2 linked regions of the Lepisosteus oculatus genome follow. The protein of the gene in region 1 purifies or fractionates together with the protein of each later gene. This does not show direct contact. Links are inferred from orthologs where the notes say so. Each region holds a gene or a part of one and is shown on either strand. Other genes may lie near its edges. The genes, in order: inositol polyphosphate 5-phosphatase K and gart.

What was found.
Region 2: the proteins of inositol polyphosphate 5-phosphatase K (region 1) and gart purify together in Homo sapiens (co-immunoprecipitation; 3 studies listed by BioGRID and IntAct, counting the BioPlex papers as one, with this or other methods). This does not show direct contact. The link is inferred for Lepisosteus oculatus from reciprocal best matches to the Homo sapiens genes INPP5K and GART.

What each region holds. Positions count from the first base shown.
Region 1 is NC_090721.1:246,113-255,947, reverse strand, and holds the start of inositol polyphosphate 5-phosphatase K, read left to right. Parts: upstream 1-5,286; 5' UTR 5,287-6,088; coding exon 6,089-6,321; intron 6,322-6,793; coding exon 6,794-6,898; intron 6,899-7,819; coding exon 7,820-7,928; intron 7,929-9,456; coding exon 9,457-9,573; intron 9,574-9,835. UniProt on the Homo sapiens protein: Inositol 5-phosphatase which acts on inositol 1,4,5-trisphosphate, inositol 1,3,4,5-tetrakisphosphate, phosphatidylinositol 4,5-bisphosphate and phosphatidylinositol 3,4,5-trisphosphate.
Region 2 is NC_090708.1:27,019,075-27,028,439, reverse strand, and holds the start of gart (trifunctional purine biosynthetic protein adenosine-3), read left to right. Parts: upstream 1-4,790; 5' UTR 4,791-4,937; coding exon 4,938-5,113; intron 5,114-6,132; exon of another isoform or gene 6,133-6,265; intron 6,266-6,308; exon of another isoform or gene 6,309-6,404; intron 6,405-9,112; coding exon 9,113-9,261; intron 9,262-9,365. Other genes in the region: uncharacterized protein, read left to right, coding at 1-104, 1,461-1,727, 2,706-2,858, 3,201-3,385. UniProt on the Homo sapiens protein: Trifunctional enzyme that catalyzes three distinct reactions as part of the 'de novo' inosine monophosphate biosynthetic pathway.

The sequences.
Region 1 (9,835 bases):
ATTAGCTGCGAGCCTTCGTATCGCATTCCACCCAGTTCTGAGGATGCACAAATTGTTGTTTTGCCAGAAATGCAACTTTACACTGTCCAGGAGTTTTAGCGTGTTTTAGAGGACTTTTATTGTGAACGGCACCGCAAATAGGAAGCCAGCTCCAGCGTCTTCATGCCGCACTCGGGCTGGCAGCAAGCGGCTGTGTCTGCAAGCGCCCGGTCACTCAGTAGGCACAGCAGATGCACCTGTTTGTTTTTCGGACAGCGTGACTGGCGTAGCTGGCTCATTATTACCGCACGGTATGACTTAATATTTTGTTTTTATGGTAATTGAAACATTGTGAATCGACCATGTTCAGATTAGCAGGAAAATATATAGAAGGAAACTGATGCCTCTCTGGCGGATCCGTTTAGCCTTTATTTGATCGGAGAGGAGGGGCGGTGCTGTAAATACGTGATTAGTCAACTGATGCGCTAATCTGTGCTGTCAGAGATGCCTTTAAACTTATTTTGCGACGTCTGCCTAGAAGTCGTAAATGTCTGAAAGATGAGATTATTTCTAAAATAAAGGAAATCGTGGAGTGAACGGGCAGCATGAAATTCTTTTCTTTCCGCGTTTATTTGGCTCAGCCTGACTCAGCTATGGGAATAACAGTATCTCACAGTGACGTACGTAGGCGAAGCAGCGCAGTGCTTAGTGTTAATGTGGATAGTAATAATGATGTTAAACACGGTCGTTTGCCGTCTAACGTGGGATGCGTGATTGTGCTCTGCGTGTTTACACATGCTCTTATAGTAGGAACGCTACTATGTTGAAGCTGTTGGCACTTTACCAGTTGACTGATGTTAAAACTGGAACTCTTAAGACGGTAAGACGTGTCAGCTCGTGTATTGCAAGTCCGGTATTTATGGAGAGTGGCATCAGGATGATTTAAGTTTCCTACAACGCGAAGATCTATAATTATGCTCTCGTTGTTCATGCTGTAGACCACTCGCACCCACAGGTGTTTTCCGTGTCGTGTCGCGTCCTGTCAGTGTTCCAGTGTCACGCAGATGTGGGTCTGCGCTGTTTGATTAACAGATGTCTACTGTGAACGTCATAGGCTGATAAAAAAGATTTTTTAAATAAAACTGTACTTGAACAGTTTTTAATTAAAAATTGTTTTAAAAAGAATTCCACTTGTCATAAACCAGGCATTCAAGATGTCTCTGGATTTAAATATTAAAGGGCTGAATTATAACGCTAAATATTATAAAATGATTAAACAGCGTGCTATTAATGTTCTGGTTCCATAGATAGATATGGCACAGCTATATCAGCATTGGAGTGAAGCGGAAAAAATCACGAACATATAAAATCTTTTCTGACAGCAGCCCTGGAAGATGGAGACGCCCGATAAATAATGGGAGACGACGTGAGAGTGCCTGTATCACGAGCACAGTAAAAGCGCAGACCTTTACCGTCAGCCCTGTATAAGAAGGAATTCTGGGGAAGCGATTCTGAAAAAGACATGCAGCATATTGATCAGATTGTTCTGGTCCAGGCATGTGATGGTCTGTGAAAAGCAGACATCAGAAGGATTAGAAAAGGCGATTAGACACAGAGAAAATCCAGGATGTGGCTAATCTTTTTTATGAATTAGCTGTCTGTTCCATCATTTGTTTTCAAATAGTGTTTTGTAATATACAGAGAAGTACTGCATTCAAAATATTAATATTTCACAATAGTTAGGGCTGTAGGACACAGCACAGAAACATCAGATTGAGCCTGACCCTTTCGTGGTATCTGCACACACCTCAGTTGTCAGCAGTGCAAATGATGCAGCACTGATTTCTCAGGCTTCTCCCAGAGCACTGGACTGTGTGACTGCAGGGTCCCTGGGAATGATGAAGCTGCGTCCGTGAGCTGATGTGGTGTGTGTCTTCACAGGCTCAAGGATGCATTTAAGCCCTACGTCAGAGACCCAGAACTCTCTGTTCCAGGCCAAGATCAGCAGTAAGACTGCAGCCAAGATGGACACTTTCAGGTACGTTTAGGGGTGAGGATGATAATGATGCCAGTGTGAGAGCTGAGTGTTTCTGCAATGTGTAGATCATGATACATGATTCTAATTATGGTTATTTAACCTTAGATGTTGAATGTTGTTATCTGATCAGACAAAAGGCTTTGGGAGTCTGAAACAGCTGAATGAGATCCCCAGCTTGAACATCTACTATGAATCACATGAACTATTTGGGTAAAATGGCCAATTGATGACCTTCCTCATGCTCCAGGTGTCTTCAGCACGTCCTGAGGGCAGGTTCACACCTGGCTGCAGAAACCTGGTCTTTCCCCTGTGAGACCCTTATGCTCAGGGCCCTGTCTCCCTGGGGAGCTGCCAGAGCAGTGGGGAGTTTTTAGTTCCATTGCTGTTGCCTTGGAAAAGGCATCGACAGGAAGATTGACATGGATGGTTGAAGCTGCAGACCTCTTTCCTCTTGTAACTTGTTACCTCATAAGAAACCTGCTTCCAGGAAGTGAGAGGGTTCTGGTGCTCAGAGCTGGTCAGGTGTGGACCCATGTGTCGCCATGAGGAAATACCTGATCCCTCACTGCTGGAGAACACAGTCTGTGCTCTTAGTTCTTCATTTGCTCTGAAGGTGCGAAGCTGGTGCTCATTGCTCTGGGGTTGTTAGGGTATTGCCGCCCGGGACTGTATATAGAGCTTCTTACCACATACATACGGAGTTTAGGGATTAGTAACTGGTAGGTGCTGTAGAAAGAAGAAAAAATTAGAAAAAATGGGAAAGATCAGTCCTACTATTCAGGCTGGACCAATAGAGAACTTTTTTGCCATTTTTTCCATATGTTATTATTTATATATAATATATATTATGTTTTGTGAGACTGTTCCTGAATTGATAAAAAAATTATAATTGTCAATAATTTTCTGTTTATGCACTTCCGATCACAGAAATAATCAGTTTGACTCACCGATACAGTCCAAGATCAGAGGAGTGAGGGTGCTCATAGCGTGCTCTGTGAAAGCGCGTGTTTCTGCTCCTTTGCCTGGTCAGGCAGCGCGAACTGTGGAGCCTACAGCAGAGCGAGCGCTCCTCGGAGACCACACTGGACACTCGCAGGCCCTGGCCAGTCACAGGGGCCACTCTTGCACGACAAGATGAGGGTGTCCTGGTCAAGTTAAGTCCACCCAAGTTGGCAAGTGTTGCCACTCCTTGTTGAATCCAAGTGACAATAGGAGAGGTAGGCAGGGTTTGGCAGTGTAGGCAGCAAGAAGATAACTTGCAGATACAAAATGGGAAACTGAGATAGAAGAGGCTACTGATGTAAACGACAGATGTGTGTGTTGATGCAGGTTCTGCTTATATCTTCTAGACAATGAGGAGAAGGAATAAAAAGGAAATCCTAAATATGTATGAAAGAATATATATTTAAATTTAAAAGTGCAGAATTTAAATCAAGGGATGTTATGTTAAACGTCTTCAATGCACTAGCATGGCTTCATTTAGAAAATTGTGTACAGTTTTGTACACCATGTTGTAGAAAAGATGTTGCTTCTGTGTAATCTGTCCAGAAAAGAGCAACCAGATACATTCCAGATCACAAAGAAATTTCCTACACTGACAGGCCAAAGGAACTAAATCTTTACAGTTTTGAACAGAGAAGACAATAAGCCGACCTGATACAAATGTTCAAAATCCTCAAAGACATTGACAACATCAGCCCAGTAGATTTCTTCCGAATAAACAATTAAACGCAAACCCTACGTGAAGATACAGAGGCTACAAGCAGAAACTACGAGGAAGTACATTTTAAACTGAGGACAGGAGGTATGTCTTCAGCCAGAGGGTTGTGGGAATGTAGAACATGTTACCCAGCCTTGTTGAAGCCCATACCCTGGCTTCTGTTAGAAAACAGCTTGATCCTTCAGTTAGGGACTAACAAAGAGACAAGATAACCTGGGTGTCCTCCTCTTGTTTGTAACTGTTCATATTAACTTAATTACGTTTTATATTATTCACAAAATCTGCACCTCATCTCGCAAATGTGCTGGGCTTTTTCTAGTGGGAGCTGTCCTTGTATCTTTCTACATACATATGTCAGAATGCAGCTTGCAGTGCTCTCAATTATAGCAATTTGAGAAGATTGAGAATGTCACTATTGCATCCACTGGTCCTGACTAATGGAGACGGAGTTTGGCCAGCTGAACAGATCATGCAAGTTCAAATGGTCTGAACTGGAGCTCAGACCCTCACCCTGCTCCTGGCCCCCTGATCTGAAGAATGCCTCTGTTGTGATATGTTCAGGAATGCTGGAAGCACCTTGTGACAGAATTATCCAGTGAACTGAGGGGATTAAAGTCCTTGTGAAAGAGGTATTTGTGGGTTTTGTGTAACAGTCTTTTTCTGGACATCTGAGCACTCCAAGCACAGTTTCAATTCATTAGCCAGGAGTTCTGCCAATTAAGAACCAGAGCTCTGCTGTCACAGGGGAAAGCGGATTTTCTTCTTTGTGTGCTTCAGCTCCAGAGCTGTCCTGGAAGGAGTGGGGTGACGGGGGGGTGAGGAGGGAGCTGAACCGCAGGCCTGTGGCTGTCTGAGAGCTCTGGAAAGGTGTTGGATTGGTGCAGCCTTGGTCCCAGCAATCTTTTAGCTTTATTCTACCAAAAGAAAACAAGTATGATGGGATAAATGGGCCATCTTGATCTTTTGCTTCACTTCTTTCTGCACCTATGTACCTAAAATCAGGGCATAATGACATCTATGAGTCCTGTTAATACAGTAAAAGCAAAATTTAACATTCTGTTGGGGGAAGGGTGGTCTGTTAATGGGGATAGTCTGTTAAGTCATGACGCATATGCTACATCTAATTCATACACAGATACTACTCTCTGAATAATGTAATGTAGTTACCTTCTTTTAAAATGCAATTTTAAGCAAAGTTATTGTAAGAGAATCTAATTTTCCAATAAGAATTAAAGTAAACATTAAGGTTGCCCAGTTTGGTATAATTTTGAACAATTCCATACTGTACTGGGCAAGCCAATGGATGCTGTGGCGAAAGTTATTCTGATAACTCTTCAGTGACATTGAAAATAAGCCAAAGGTATCAAATGTAATTCAGACAGTTATTTACTTTGCCAATGCCCTTTTTAACCTGCTGACTTAATTTTAATGTATTTTGTGGCCTGACCACCACAGTGGACCAATAGCATGTTAAGAGGCTAGGTGGGGGATTGGGGCTAGACTGGGGCTAGAGGGGGATAGACCCCCTTTTGTCGTGATTTGGCTTGGAGAGCAAGACTGTTGGTGTTATAGAGTCCAACTCTTACGCACAAGACAAATCATTATTTGCCTCACTGGAATATTAACCGGATTAGAGCTCAAATGTCTCCTAACAATGGGCCAGTGATGCTGGAATCAGCCAGTGCCCAGCACAGACGCATTCGCAAGCCTCTGGTCACCAAGGCCTCTCTGTCACGTGGGTTCCTGGAGATTTAAATAATCCTCCACTTGAGAGGCAGAACATCCTTTTAAGTTTTATTGTTGTTTTCACCAATTCATTTGAGGAGCACAATTGGACCTAAAGGAGAAGTGGACTTGTTACTTCATTAGGAAGTTGGTCTTTTGGTGTTTTTCCTTCTGTCTTTTTGGTGGTCTTGCTGGGCCTGCCAGTCCTGGTGCTGGAGCTCCTCCCGTGCTGAAAGAAGGAGGACTTGTTCACCTGCTCTGAAACGTCCGACTACAGCTTTGTAAACTGCAAGAAATTACCTTTTGACCAAAGAACTTTGGAAAGGATTTTATTCTGGATGCAAAAGAAGTTCAAGAAAGAGAACAAGAAACTGTTGTTTGAATTGCAGTTGCTGATTCATACTGGAACCATTGATTGTAGCTCATTCATATATTTTTAAGAACTTTTCACTGAACACTTGTACCAGTAATTGAATCATCTTAATTTTCATCGATCGGCTTGTTTTGCATTGCTACTGGCTTGCTGCCGCAATCGGCTAGTCTGAGCAGAAGTGCCGGGAGGCAGTGTGTGATTGCGTGTGGAGCTTCACTGCCAGCTCGCCCTGACCGACCCAGCCTGCCAGCGGATGGAGGATGCGGAGGGGCTCCCGGGGCTGCGTGCCCGCTCCGACAGCATGGCCAGCACAGCCTCGGTGTCCACCAGCGGGAGGCTGCTCCTGCGCCAGCGCGTGGTGCAGCTCATGACCTGCGTGGAGGACCTGAGCTCTGACGAGGAGCTGCAGGAGGAGGTGTCTCGCACCCTGAATGAGGCTTTCCTGCTCTGCGGGAAGCGGGGCGCCCGCGAGGAGGAGCGCTTCAGGTGCCTTGGCTGTTACCATCTGCTCCCTGGCGTCCTGGGGGGAGAGAGAGTGGTTTAAAGCTCCAGAAATTCACATGTATTTCCGATAGTCCAGGGAAGGACAACCAGGGCAATGAGCACAAATTCCTCCTCCACTTCAGTACTCAGAATGCTTTAACTGATGTGATGCGAGAGGTGCAGACATACTAAAAAACAAAATGGGAAAGTCTCTAGTCAAATGTCTCAGTCATACGTATCATAAATTTACAGGCACATCACTGAGATTTTTCATAGTGAGGAGGGGATGGAGTAATGTGGTTTCCAGCTGGACTCTTGTTGGATGTTTTTGTAAAATTTCTGAGATGCTATTTATAGCCTTTGGAGACGCAGTGCAGCGATGTTCCTCTGAACCAATGCAATGCAAGTTGTCCATGTCTGGAATGTGTCCTTCTTTATGTACCAGCGGTGCTGTGGTTCTGCTCCTCTCTCTCAGGTTGCACATGGTCACCTGGAATGTGGGGACTGCTGCCCCCCCCAGCGATGTCAGCTCCCTGCTGGAGCTGGACTCTGAGAAACCTGCTGACTTGTTTGTGATTGGGTGAGTGAGTGTCCAGCAGGTGGGACATCCTGCAAGAGGCTTCTTCCCATCTACATTTCTATTTCATCACTTTCTACTGCAATTACAAAATCTGTTCTCCTTTTAAAGGAGTATTGCTTATTCAGTTTCTGCCATTCCTTTAAGACCACTTTCTCTTGAGATCTGCTCCATGGTATTGTCAGCACCCTGCTTACAGGACTGTTGTGTGTGACAAATGGTCCTACTTCAAACAACAGTAAAACAGCTTGTTGTACAAAGCAAAATTAAATGCCACATAGAGACTCCATTAACATCAAAACATGCAACATCCTACCTTGAAATTCACACAATTTATTCTCTGTAATAACTATTTTAAAGCTCTGTTTCAGAGTGACATGAGCCTCTACTTTATGTATCATTTTATGTTACCGTTTGACTTTTTTTAACACCAGCTATAAGGGCATCAGTTTTGCCAGTATCACAGTACAGTCATAGCTAACAATAAGAACTTTAAGTCACAGAATAAAAATTAAGTCCCAGTTAAAGACTAAAACAAAATAGACAGAGCAGACATGTATGTTGCAGAAAATCCTTTCTTACTAAGAATTAGGCATATGTTTCTAACATATTCAGCCCGAGACATGCAGTACTGTACTCTTACCTCAACCACAGCTGCTGATGCCCGAGAAGAGAATAATACCTCTGATCACTGCTCAGAAGGCAACAAAGTCCTCACACAGGTCCCTGGTGTGTCAGTTGACATCTGACATGTTCAGTCATGTTCGAAGAGGAAAATAAAGAAGCCCTGAAAGGCGTGTGCACCCATTCAGGAGCTGCCAGTGCAGAGTGCCCGCCTAGAGCTGCACTCCGGCATGCTGGATGCGGGTGGCATAGGCTGGTATCGCTGGTGCCTTTGGCAGCTGTTCTGTGTTTTCTCTGCAGGCTGCAGGAAGTCAACTCCAGGCTTCTGAATTTTATTAATGACATGACGTTTGAGGACCCCTGGAGTCGCCTCCTGATGGACACGCTGGCCCCGCTGGGATATGTGAAGGTTCGGCCTTTTACTCTTCTCTGCAGCGTCCGTCTCAGTTCACACCTTCTAGAGTTCTAGAGCTTCAAACATGAGCGTAAAAAACTGATGAAGAAAGTAAAAATGAATTCCATGCCAGTTCTCTGTGTAGCACCATCTGTGCCTGCAAGTTAGGGAAAGCTATGATGCTGTAACAAAGCGGTCTTCTCCTCTCACACATGAAGACTTTGTTTCTTTTTCAAAATGCAAATACATAAAATTCCTGAACACTGACACTGCTGTAGGCTTGTGGCAAACTAAGAGCTGGTTAAAAGAGGTGCTACCATCTTTAAAGAATTGTAGTTGAAGCTGTATCTCCAGTCAAGGCTGAAACTAATGGTCTTGATGCAGGACCTTTTCATTGCAGTACTGGGCCAGGCTGCCATCCCAGCAGCTTCAGTGTCTTTCAGAGACATGTGTGTGCTGTATCTCTCGCTGCTGACTTGGCCTTCCTGAACAATGGAAGGCATTGTCATCCACCTCATTAGGGGGCTGTTAATACAGTGAGAGGGCATGGTTTGTTTATCAAACAGAGTCTCATTTGTGGTCCAAACCAATTAATATTGTTAAGCCTTCATTTTTTATTAAACTTTTTATTCTCAGAGTGTCTGAACATGTATGTCTTTGTAGTGTCCTCTGTTATCTGGAAACCTCTGTTTGCTTGAAAGGAACAGTGGGATAATACTAGCTAACGTAGTTCACACTAGAGTTCCCTGCAGTTCATACTGGCAGCACATGGAGTTGCTCTTTTGCCTGTATGATCTCTCTCATTCTCCTGTCTTCTGAATGAACCTGTCAACCCTAAAGTGCTGAAGCGCTGTACACTACCAGTACCCAGAATGGGACCTGAACAGCTGACAGGTGCCCAGGAGATTCGTCTGTCATTAAGAACAGACTTTTCTCCAAAGGGACCACTTCCTTTCAATGTCCACTCTAGACCCGTTTGCTTGCTTTATTTCTGGACAGCTTAGAATCTGCAAAGCAGTTAGTGAGAAGCAGAGCACATGCTGTCTCATAACAGAAATGTTCAGGCCATTAGTTGGGAACCAGTGATAAAGCCAATTTATAATAATCGATTTTCACACATATTTATCCCCTTTCATACTAAAGGAGACCCATTTCCTCCTCCATCGTGGGTGATGCTCAGCATCTGCTCTGCAGGAGCAGATCCAGGCTAGGAGTGAGGAACTGCTGCACCAGGGGGAACTTTAGGGAGGCCAGACTGTTTGAGCACAGTGACATTTAGCCAGATCACCGGGGTGCATACTCCTGTTTGTGTGAGCAGTGCCTTGGAATCTTTCGTGACCAAGTGGCCATGTTGTGCTGTGACTCAATGAATGGCCAATGGCCAGTTGTTCGCTTAGCTGTTTCATGTTGAGCCCATAACTTCACATACATTTGTCTTGAAAATAAATATTTTCTCTTCACCTCACTTTTTGATTAATAGCTTTGATTTCAGAATGGAGGCAAGCTCATTGTCCCCCAACCCTGTCTGTCCCTTCTCATGCAGCTGATATCCATCCGCATGCAGGGACTCCTGTTGCTCCTCTTTGCCAAGCAAGCGCACATCACATTCATCCGGGACATCCAGGCCAGCTACACCCGCACCGGCATCTACGGATACTGGGTAGGAAAGAGAGCGATTCCTGCCTTCAGGCACCAGCAAATGATAAAACCAAGTTAAAACTGAAACAATATAAAAAATCTAAATTTTCTGCCATGCTTATAAGTAATCTGGTGTCCAGTTCTACAACTCAACTCATGAGTTTGATGCAGATGAACAGAAGGGGAGGTGAAGGGCTGCCTGCTGACTGCTGCTGTCTTTCCAGCATGCTGTTCAGCAGTATTGCATGTTTACCACGAGTCTTAAAAATGTTGAGTTGGGAATT
Region 2 (9,365 bases), on another chromosome or scaffold:
GGGGATCAGCGTGACGGCCGAGGACGCGGACCGCTGCGTCCAGACACGCCTGCGTCAAAACGAGGCCCCTCTCCCGGAGTATCTGCTCTCCCGGAGCCAGGCTGGTACGAGCTTTCCTTTTTGTTCCAGTACTGACAGCGGATAAGGTCCACGGAGGAGGAGAAATCATGTTTAAAGTGGCCTCTAGGCGTTAGTCAAAATACTAACTCAATACGGGCATTGTGAAAGAAGCTGACCCAGACGCGATTGTTTTGCTCTCACGTTCTCATGAACAGGTCGCACATGTTCTTATTACGTGTTCTCTGCCAGAACACGTTCGCATTAGAACATACATTCTTAAGAGCAAGGGGTGTCAGCCACAGTGCCTGCAGTCTTTCAGGCTCCCAATCCAGGCTCTCAGTTAATTCATTAACGAGTCTAATTACGTGGGGGGATTTATTACTCTTGTCCAGCTTCATATTCAGTTTTGTGGAAACCATCCTGAAGCAACAGCCTCAACTGAATTCAACTGACAAAAAAGTGTAAAAATCTTAATAAAGCCCCAAGTTGAGTGTGATGCCGTGTCCTTGTGTGTGGGACAGCGCCTCCCAGTGGTCTGTGATCTGTGCCTTCAGTCTGTCAGCAGCAGAGTGTGGAACGTTGAGCACTGAGCGACAGTGAGCCTGGACACTGCGAGGTCCCAGAGACAGGAGCTGCATTTGGAGGTGTTGGGCACAGTCCTAGTGTACCAGTGCAGAGTAGGGACAGCTGCACCTTCGCAGGCAAACGATTGTCAGTGTTCATTTACCCTGTGCTCATTGTTTACGAGAGCTGACTGGAAGTGATCATTGCCTTCCCTCAAGTCTTAATATATTGCTGATTTAAAGAGTCTTATAAACCAGGAGTCTCAGACTCTGTTGCTGAAAGGCCTTGTGTCTTTTAGTCTTTGTTCTGACCTGAATCTTCAATTAGACAATTAACCTCATTGTTTTCTAAATTAGACACAGATAGGATTTTTCTTAAGGTCTTTTACAGGTGATTACACAAGGCATTTAAGGTACAGTTAACTATAAACCACCTTGGAGCTTAATTGGACTTATATTCCAGTTATGCAGCTAATAAAATAATTAGACCATAAATGTAACTGAGGATGTGGTTGGAACCACTGGTATCGATCCTCTGGGTCTGGTGGTGTTGAAGTCCATGCTGTGCTGTTCAGGGTTGAGGGCTGAGGGCTTGTGTATGTCTTTCTGCTGTCCCAGTTTGTATATTTCTAGCGAGACTCCCTGTGATCAATGTGTGTATTTCCAGCGAGACTCTCTGTGACCAGTTTGTGTATTCCCTGTGAGACTCTCTGTGATCAGTGTGTGTATTCCCTGTGAGACTCTCTGTGATCAGTGTGTGTATTTCCAGTGAGACTCTCTGTGATCAGTGTGTGTATTTCCAGTGAGACCCTTTGTGATCAGTGTGTGTTTTTCCAGGGGCCACACACCAGCAGCTGGTGGAGGGTGCGGAGAGGGCAAGTGGTGGACGGGTGCTGGGCCGGTTTTTCCCACTCCACCCATCCCGGCAGCTGGCTCTGGTACCCTGGCTGGCCTCATGGATCCGGAAGGGTGCTGTTCCTGTTGCCACCATGAACATGCAGCTGGCAGTGCCCGAGGGTGAGGAGGTGCCTGATGCCTGGCACCACCAACTCATCTTTGGCGTCACACCCAGTGCCGTTTACATGACAAACCCCCTGGATGTGGGTGAGTGAGCTGCAGTGGTGGGAACCGACTGGCCTGTCCCTGAGACACAACTGTTTTTCTTCTTTAGTTCTCTCTGTTTGTTCTGTAAAGGATTTAAGGTTGAAATCATGTTCAGTCAGTGTTTGAATGCAGTGTTTGACTCAGCACTGAGTCATTATGTGTGTGCAGAGAGACCCTCTCTGATCAGTGTGTGCTTGCAATGAGACCCTTTTCAATTAAATATCAATTACTGTATGCATTGAAACTTTCTATGATCAGTGTGTGTATTTCCAGTGAGCCTCTCTGTGATCAGTGTGTGTATTTCCAGGGAGCCTCTCTCTGATCAGTGTGTGTATTTCCAGTGAGACTCTGTGATCAGTGTGTGTATTTCCAGGGAGCCTCTCTCTGATCAGTGTGTGTATTTCCAGTGAGACTCTGTGATCAGTGTGTGTATTTCCAGGGAGACTCTCTGTGATCAGCATGTGTATGTCCAGTGAGCCTGATCTGTGATCAGTGTGTATTTCCAGGGAGCCTCTCTGTGATCAGTGTGTGTATTTCCAGAGAGACTCTGTGATCAGTGTGTGTATTTCCAGTGAGCCTCTCTCTGATCAGTGTGTGTATTTCCAGTGAGACTCTCTGTGATCAGTGTGTGTATTTCCAGTGAGACTCTCTGTGATCAGTGTGTGTATTTCCAGGGAGACTCTCTGTGATCAGCATGTGTATGACCAGTGAGCCTGATCTGTGATCAGTTTGTATTTCCAGGGAGACTCTCTGTGATCAGTGTTTGTATTTCTAGTGAGCCTCTCTGTGATCAGTGTGTGTATTTCCAGTGAGCCTCTCTGTGATCAGTGTGTGTATTTCCAGTGAGATTCTCTGTGATCAGTGTGTGTATTTCCAGTAAACCTGATCTGTGATCGGTGTGTATTTCCAGTGAGCCTCTCTGTGATCAGTGTGTGTATTTCCAGTGAAACTCTCTGTGATCAGTGTGTGTATTTCCAGTGAGCGCTCAGGTGGTGCAGCAGCGTCTGTGCAGTGATTCGGTGCTGTTGGTGAGGAGAGAGGATGTCCTGCAGAGGCTGACAGCTGATACACCGGTCTCGGTATTGCCTCAGGGACACACTGACCCCTGCTGGGACATTCTAGACGTGGCAGGTGAGAAGAGCCCAGGGCCTGACTGTTAGCTTCTCCATTTGTCAGTCTCTTTCAAACTTCATCTCTATGTTTTTTCTGTTTTGGCCTCCAGGAGCATTATTAGTTACTGCCCTAGGCCCTTCTTCAAAGCTGCCTTGCCAGTTTTATAATGCTTTTGTACTTTTCTTAATTTAATTAAATTACTAATTTAATTTTTACATTTTTTAATAGAAACTAAATTTATCACTTCTGCCGTGAAGTTCAATTCATAGGTAGTGTTTTTCATGTTGTGAAGCTTGCACTTGATGATGATGATGACGATTACTAGTATTGTGTATCACAATATACTGTGTCCTGTGGCAGGCCAGGTAAGGCAGATGGTGCGTGAGGAAGAGAATGACCCCAGAATGACGCACATTGTGATCCCAGCAGCATACAAGTCAGGAGTCACTCTGTTTGCCCTGAAAGACACCGCCCTTGGACAGGAGCTTCTCCTCGCCCCCGATCTGCCCCTGCTGCATTCGGACACCCTCAGAGTCTGCGCTTAGAGGCTACACTGAACCCCTCTGCAACCTCTGTACTGCTTCTCATGAGCCATGGAGAGGAAGGAGCATGCAGGCAGAAGACTGTACTTGATTTTAATTGATTAATGTGCTGGAAAACCAGAACACGCCCTTGATCACCTGTTATGAGTTGATGAAGCACCGGGGATCAATGGGCAGGGGGATGCTTGTCTGTTCTTAGAGAGTTACCCCGCAGAAGACTCAAACTGAAAAATGTGATACCAGACTTCCTCGCTTCTCACACAGCCTCCTTTCACCCTGATCAGATTGTATTACTGGAGCTCTCCATCCCAACTCTTGACCATCTTAAATAACGTGCAATAAGGCTTAATTATGCTTCACTCCCATACTTCCTCTGGTTTGATTTCTCTTAATCTCAGATACAGATTGTGAATAGATTAAATGAAAAGACTTGAAACACTGTCATCTTTATTTCTTTATTTGTATAGTGCCTTTCATGCCAAAGCAATCCTAAAGTTCTCTGAATACAATGAAAGAAAATGTCAATAAGATTTACAAAAATCATAATTGAAATCTTGATAGAAATACAAAATACTACAAATTAAATATGACAATAGTGTTAAAATGAAAGTTAATGAGAAAAGGTTGACTTATAAAAAAAAATCATGAAGGTTATTCTCAAATTTGTAAATACCACATTTTGCAGAGATCTGTTGAATTAAGGTTAAATATCACCCTGCAACTCACAACTGGCAACCCCCTGAAACTAAGATGGTGTGAGTCTGGTCAGTACCTGGATGGGAGACCTCCTGGGAAAAACCAAGGTTGCTGCTGGAAGAGGTGTTAGTGGGGCCAGCAGGTGGCGCTCACCCTGTGGTCTGTGTGGGTCTGAATGCCCTAGTATAGTGACAGGGACACTATACTGTAAACAGGCGCCGTCCTTCAGATGAGACATAAAACCGAGGTCCTGACTCTCTGTGGTCATTAAAAATCCCAGGGTGTTTCTCGAAAAGAGTAGGGGTGTAACCCCGGCGTCCTGGCCAAATTTCCCATTGGCCCTTATCAATCATGGCCTCCTAATAATCCCCCTCTATGAATTTGCTACATTACTCTGCTCTCCTCCCCACTGATAGCTGATGTGTGGTGAGCATTCTGGCGCACTATGGCTGCCGTTGCATCATCCAGGTGGATGCTGCACATTGGTGGTGGTGGAGGGGAGTCCCCATTACCTGTAAACCACTTTGAGTGGAGCGTCCAGAAAAGTGCTATATAAGTGTAAGCAATTATTATTATTATTATTATTATTATTATTAATAAGGTGCTATACAGGTTTTGCTTTGATTTGACCAGATCTGGCGCTAGAAAAGGAAATACAACACGTGGTTTGGGAAACTACATCCCCCATGATGCTCTGTAAGCATGCTGTGTTGGAGAAAAGACGTGATCCAAACTTATTCGTTTTTTGCGACACAAAACTAGGGAGATCGCACGATTAGTTAGAAGTACACGAGTGCATTGTGTTGGATTTAGATAATGATGTCATAGGTTTATTTCGATAGTTCACCGCCCCCTCCCCATGTGTTCAAACTCGCAGCACGAGGCGTTTGCTGTGTGCTTCAGTTCCGTATCTGTGCAGGAAGACGCTGCAACATTTGGGACTCCCTGCATACGAAGTGTTATCCCACCAACGTTCCGGAAAGCACTGCTGGCCGCTACATTCACAAAGCCTCAGGCGCGTCCCCTAACTTTCAGGTAATAACTTTTGGGGTTTGCACGTGTGGTTTTGAGAGAATAGTATTACTTTGAGTTTACTTTGGACACGATTGTTTCCCGCTTTGTTAAACGTGTGCGTTCTCAACTCCATGACTCGAGTTTAATATGAATGTTAAACTTTATAATGTATTTATATACGACTCATAATTTGCAATTTGTAAAATTGCCCAAGAAAGAAACAATTTAAATGAGCCGCCTAGAGCTCATTTAAATATATGCATGGGTCAGTTAATTAAAAGTACATCAAAATGCATGATAGACACGATCAATGTCTTCTTGGACAGGTAAATTGCTTCAGAAATATAGGAAGAACCCCGGTAATCATATCTTTTTACTTTGGATTAAAACCTGCAACTCTTGGAACACAAGAGTAAAAATGTGTGTTTATGAGTGATTTGACTGTCTAGGGAAAGATTATTTGCATATATATTTTTTCTTTTACTGAAATGACATTTCGTCTTCTCTGACCTCGTGAGGCGCATATGAGCCGACGAATTTTGCAATTACTGTAATGAGAAGTCATGCACAGCGAGTTAAAACGCTACATTCCAACAGTAAAATCGCGCCCCCCTGTCTAGGCTTGAGAGATGTGTTGATGTTAGGTCTGTAAAAAGAGATTGTAAGAAGGGTGGACGAGTTTAAAAATTGCACAATCGCATTGACAAATTCCAATTACCCAAATCAGTAGTGATAACCGCATGAGTGTAGGTCAGAGGTAGACCTTAACCTCTTCTTTCAGTGATTATTTGTATTCACTGTATTCATACGGGAATCTAAGTTGCCCGTCTAAATTCATGTCTCTAGTTGCCAGCATTATTGGTGAGATTTAGATGAATTCTTAGTGGGACATGCAAGTTTTAAAACAAAAATCTCTCTCCAACCAGCTACGGGCTTAAAAACTGACGTGTGTTGTATTGTTTACATACAGAACTGTCAAACTGGTTAAGAAATATTCCCAGGTTTTATAAGGACACGATTTACCACCCGTTCTTTTTTAGGAAACTGATTATCCCTGGTGAGTGTCCTGGAAACTTGAATGATGTCCCAGAATCGGAGTCGGTGAGATAGGACAATGCAATAAATATTAGGTGTGCGGATCAGCCCCTTCTTCTAGCCAGAAGTTCATCCTGGGTTAGTTCCTGATTCCCGATTCCTCATTCATCCCCTGCCTGACAGCTCCCTGTGGATTGCAAGTGAATCACGACTGCAGAAGGTGTCATTTAGAACCAAGACAAGTTTGAAGAGCCTTTCCTGCAGTAATCCAGATACGGTAACTGCAAACCTCAGTGTGTAGAGCTAGGAATACAGGATTGACTAGAAGATGTTTGCAGCATTCTAGCATTGGATTGACATTTAAGGGGAACTGCAACCCTATTTTTACATTTGGGGTTTATAATGAATTGGCAATGATGAGTGCATTTCCAACCACAATGAAATTACCAAGTGCAAGATAATGTGTACAACCTCCAATTTACATCACAAAAGAGGCCATTTCAATGTGTGCGTAGCTCCTTTAAAGACGTCATTGTCTGTGATTCAGAACGAAGCAACAAATCTTCCAGTGATGCGAGAGCAGTCCTGTTACCTTTAGATCAAGCAAATTGTGCAACTTTATTTATTTTAAAATTGTTTAATGAAACCGACACATAGAAGCCAACTTGTTTTTTAGATACTTTTTAAGTATTGCAAAAAAGACCAACCTGCAAACCAGCTAAAATAGACATTTGTTTTCAAGTTTTGCAAAAGTGCTCTGTCATTTACTTTGGTGGTTATTTTATGATGTATCACACCTATAAGAAAAAAAATCATAGCAGGACTTGTATTGTTGGAGAACTTGTTGCACCATAGACCGTGCTGTCGTCTGAACAGCTGATTTAAGTGCAATTGAATTGTGTTCAACATATTGACTTAGAGATGGTTTTGTCGGCAAATACTACTTAACTCAGCATGCAGATGACTTTTGAACATTTCTGGGGTGAAGTTTCTGCTGCACAACCCGTACTTATTCGATTGTACCTCATGCTGAATCTCGCCAAGAAACTTGTCGATGGGCAACATCAGTGTCCATGTTTATTACCCATCTCTTGGCTAGTTGACGATCCCTTGGAAAAGAAAACTGTTGAACTTTCTGCTGATCCAGTCCTCAGTTTTATCCGACCACTAAAATGTCTCAAATGCTCGACAGTGAAGTATTGTTTAAAATATATACAACATAAAAAAGAGAAGAAAGGAATTAATATTGTTAGGAGACTGTTTCTCATTGACTTGCTGCGACTAGTGAGCAGGAAGGGCCGCTTTTACATCAGAATTTGCGCAAATACTCGCTCTTGCCTGTGGCAAGACCAGCAGTTTCTAATTTGTCAGTGACTACATTGCAGCTGTACAGTACGTATATGAAATTCACAATTTTGCATTTAATTAGAAATGTGTACATTTTGCAATACCTTCTAGACTAGAATACCGGGTCTGAGAAATTGGGAAGCAGTTCTCATTTAAGCCTGTGCCTATGAGTATATTTTCATTTCCCCAATTAGATTTCATCCGTGCTTTGGCACCAGTTGTAGAACTTGTTTAATAGTCTTCAGGATGATCAGAATGCTGCATCTTCAGTGCAAAATAAAACTATTAACACAAAGGGTTGATGGAGACTGGAACAAGCTACTTAGATATATGCCTATAGCATTGATGAGCTCTGTGTAATGTAATCTGTCCAGTTTGGCTCCCAAAGATAATATCCTAGAGGAATTATCACGTGTTTCCTGTTTGATATTTAGCATCTATATGAAAAGGGCCCATGAGTGTGGCAGTTATACACTGGTGTCCTTTTACACTGCTGAAAGATTTAAGGACAAAAGTGTTTTTAATGGGAGACTAGTCCCACGTGAGTGATGCTTATTAACGGGAGATGTCAGTGATTTGCTTCTGTCTGAAAGGTCACGGTTAGGCTGTAATTCAGAACTGACATTTTAAAAATGTTATATGCTGTGTTTGATGTTTTCTATAGGTCAGTCCTGCATGCAGTTAAGTTGCCTGGTTAGAAAATTAAACGCACCAGAATGCCCTGTGTTGATTAATAGTTTATGAATAAAGTATGAATAATTTTTGGAGTGGTGGGGGCAGTAAATCTATATAGTTTCTCTGGAGTGTCTGCCTACCTGTCAGTGGAATGGCTGATTGGGCTAGTAAGCTACAAGTTCAGTGAATCTTCTTTATTGACAAACCAAACTTTTTTCGTCTTGAATAGGCAAGATGACAAGGTGTCCTGAGTATTAAAAATCCTCCAAAGCATTGACAAAGTCAGTGCATTGGGTTTGAGCAATGAAACAGGAACCAGAGAACGCAAGTGGAAACTATGTGAAAGAGTGGCACTTCTTAACCCAAAGAGTTGTGGGAGTCTAGTCAAACTACCCAGCCATGTGGTTGAAGCTGATAACCCTATTCTTTTTTTTTTTCAGGAAATGGCTGGATGAGATTTTTGAATCAATTAACTATCAAACAGGCTAGAATGCACACATGGCCTCCTTTTTCATGATCTTATGTTGTCATATTTATTGGTTTCTGTAGAGTTCCACAAAAGCTTTAGGGGAGTATAACTGACTAATACTTAATGTATCCAAAACGATACCCAGATTGCAGATTTCTTTGTACTGGTTTTGAAGGGTTGTACTGCATGTTTTTATTTAGTGATGTGATAGTGGGTAATTGTAGTAATTTAGATTTTTTTAACAGTTGTATAATAATTTTCATTGCTCTATGTAAATATTCTTTCTGCCATTCGAGGTCTTTGAGTGCTAGGGCTCTCTCAGTCTGTCTGAATGTGTTCATTTGTTCTGTTCAAGTGTTGTCTCCTCCTTCTTTCTAGTCTGGACTGTTCCAATTTGAGGGGCATTGTGGTAAATGTTCTGGTTCACCAAAGTGAGTGCTTGAGTACCTTCGGGACCTCCATGTCAATGTCCAGGTGTTTTCTCTCTCTCTCAGAGACATGGCCGAGCGGGTGTTGGTGATTGGCAGCGGGGGCAGGGAGCATGTCCTGGCCTGGAAGCTGGCTCAGTCTCCGCACGTCCAGCAGGTCCTAGTTGCCCCAGGAAACGCCGGCACAGCTAATTGTGGCAAAATCTCCAATTCAGGTAAGAGTTGATGCCCTAGTGGGGCATTTTTAGAAATAAGTCCTTTCCCCAGCCCTGTGAGAGGAAACAGGGTAAGATACACTGTGTAACTTTTAGTAAACTGT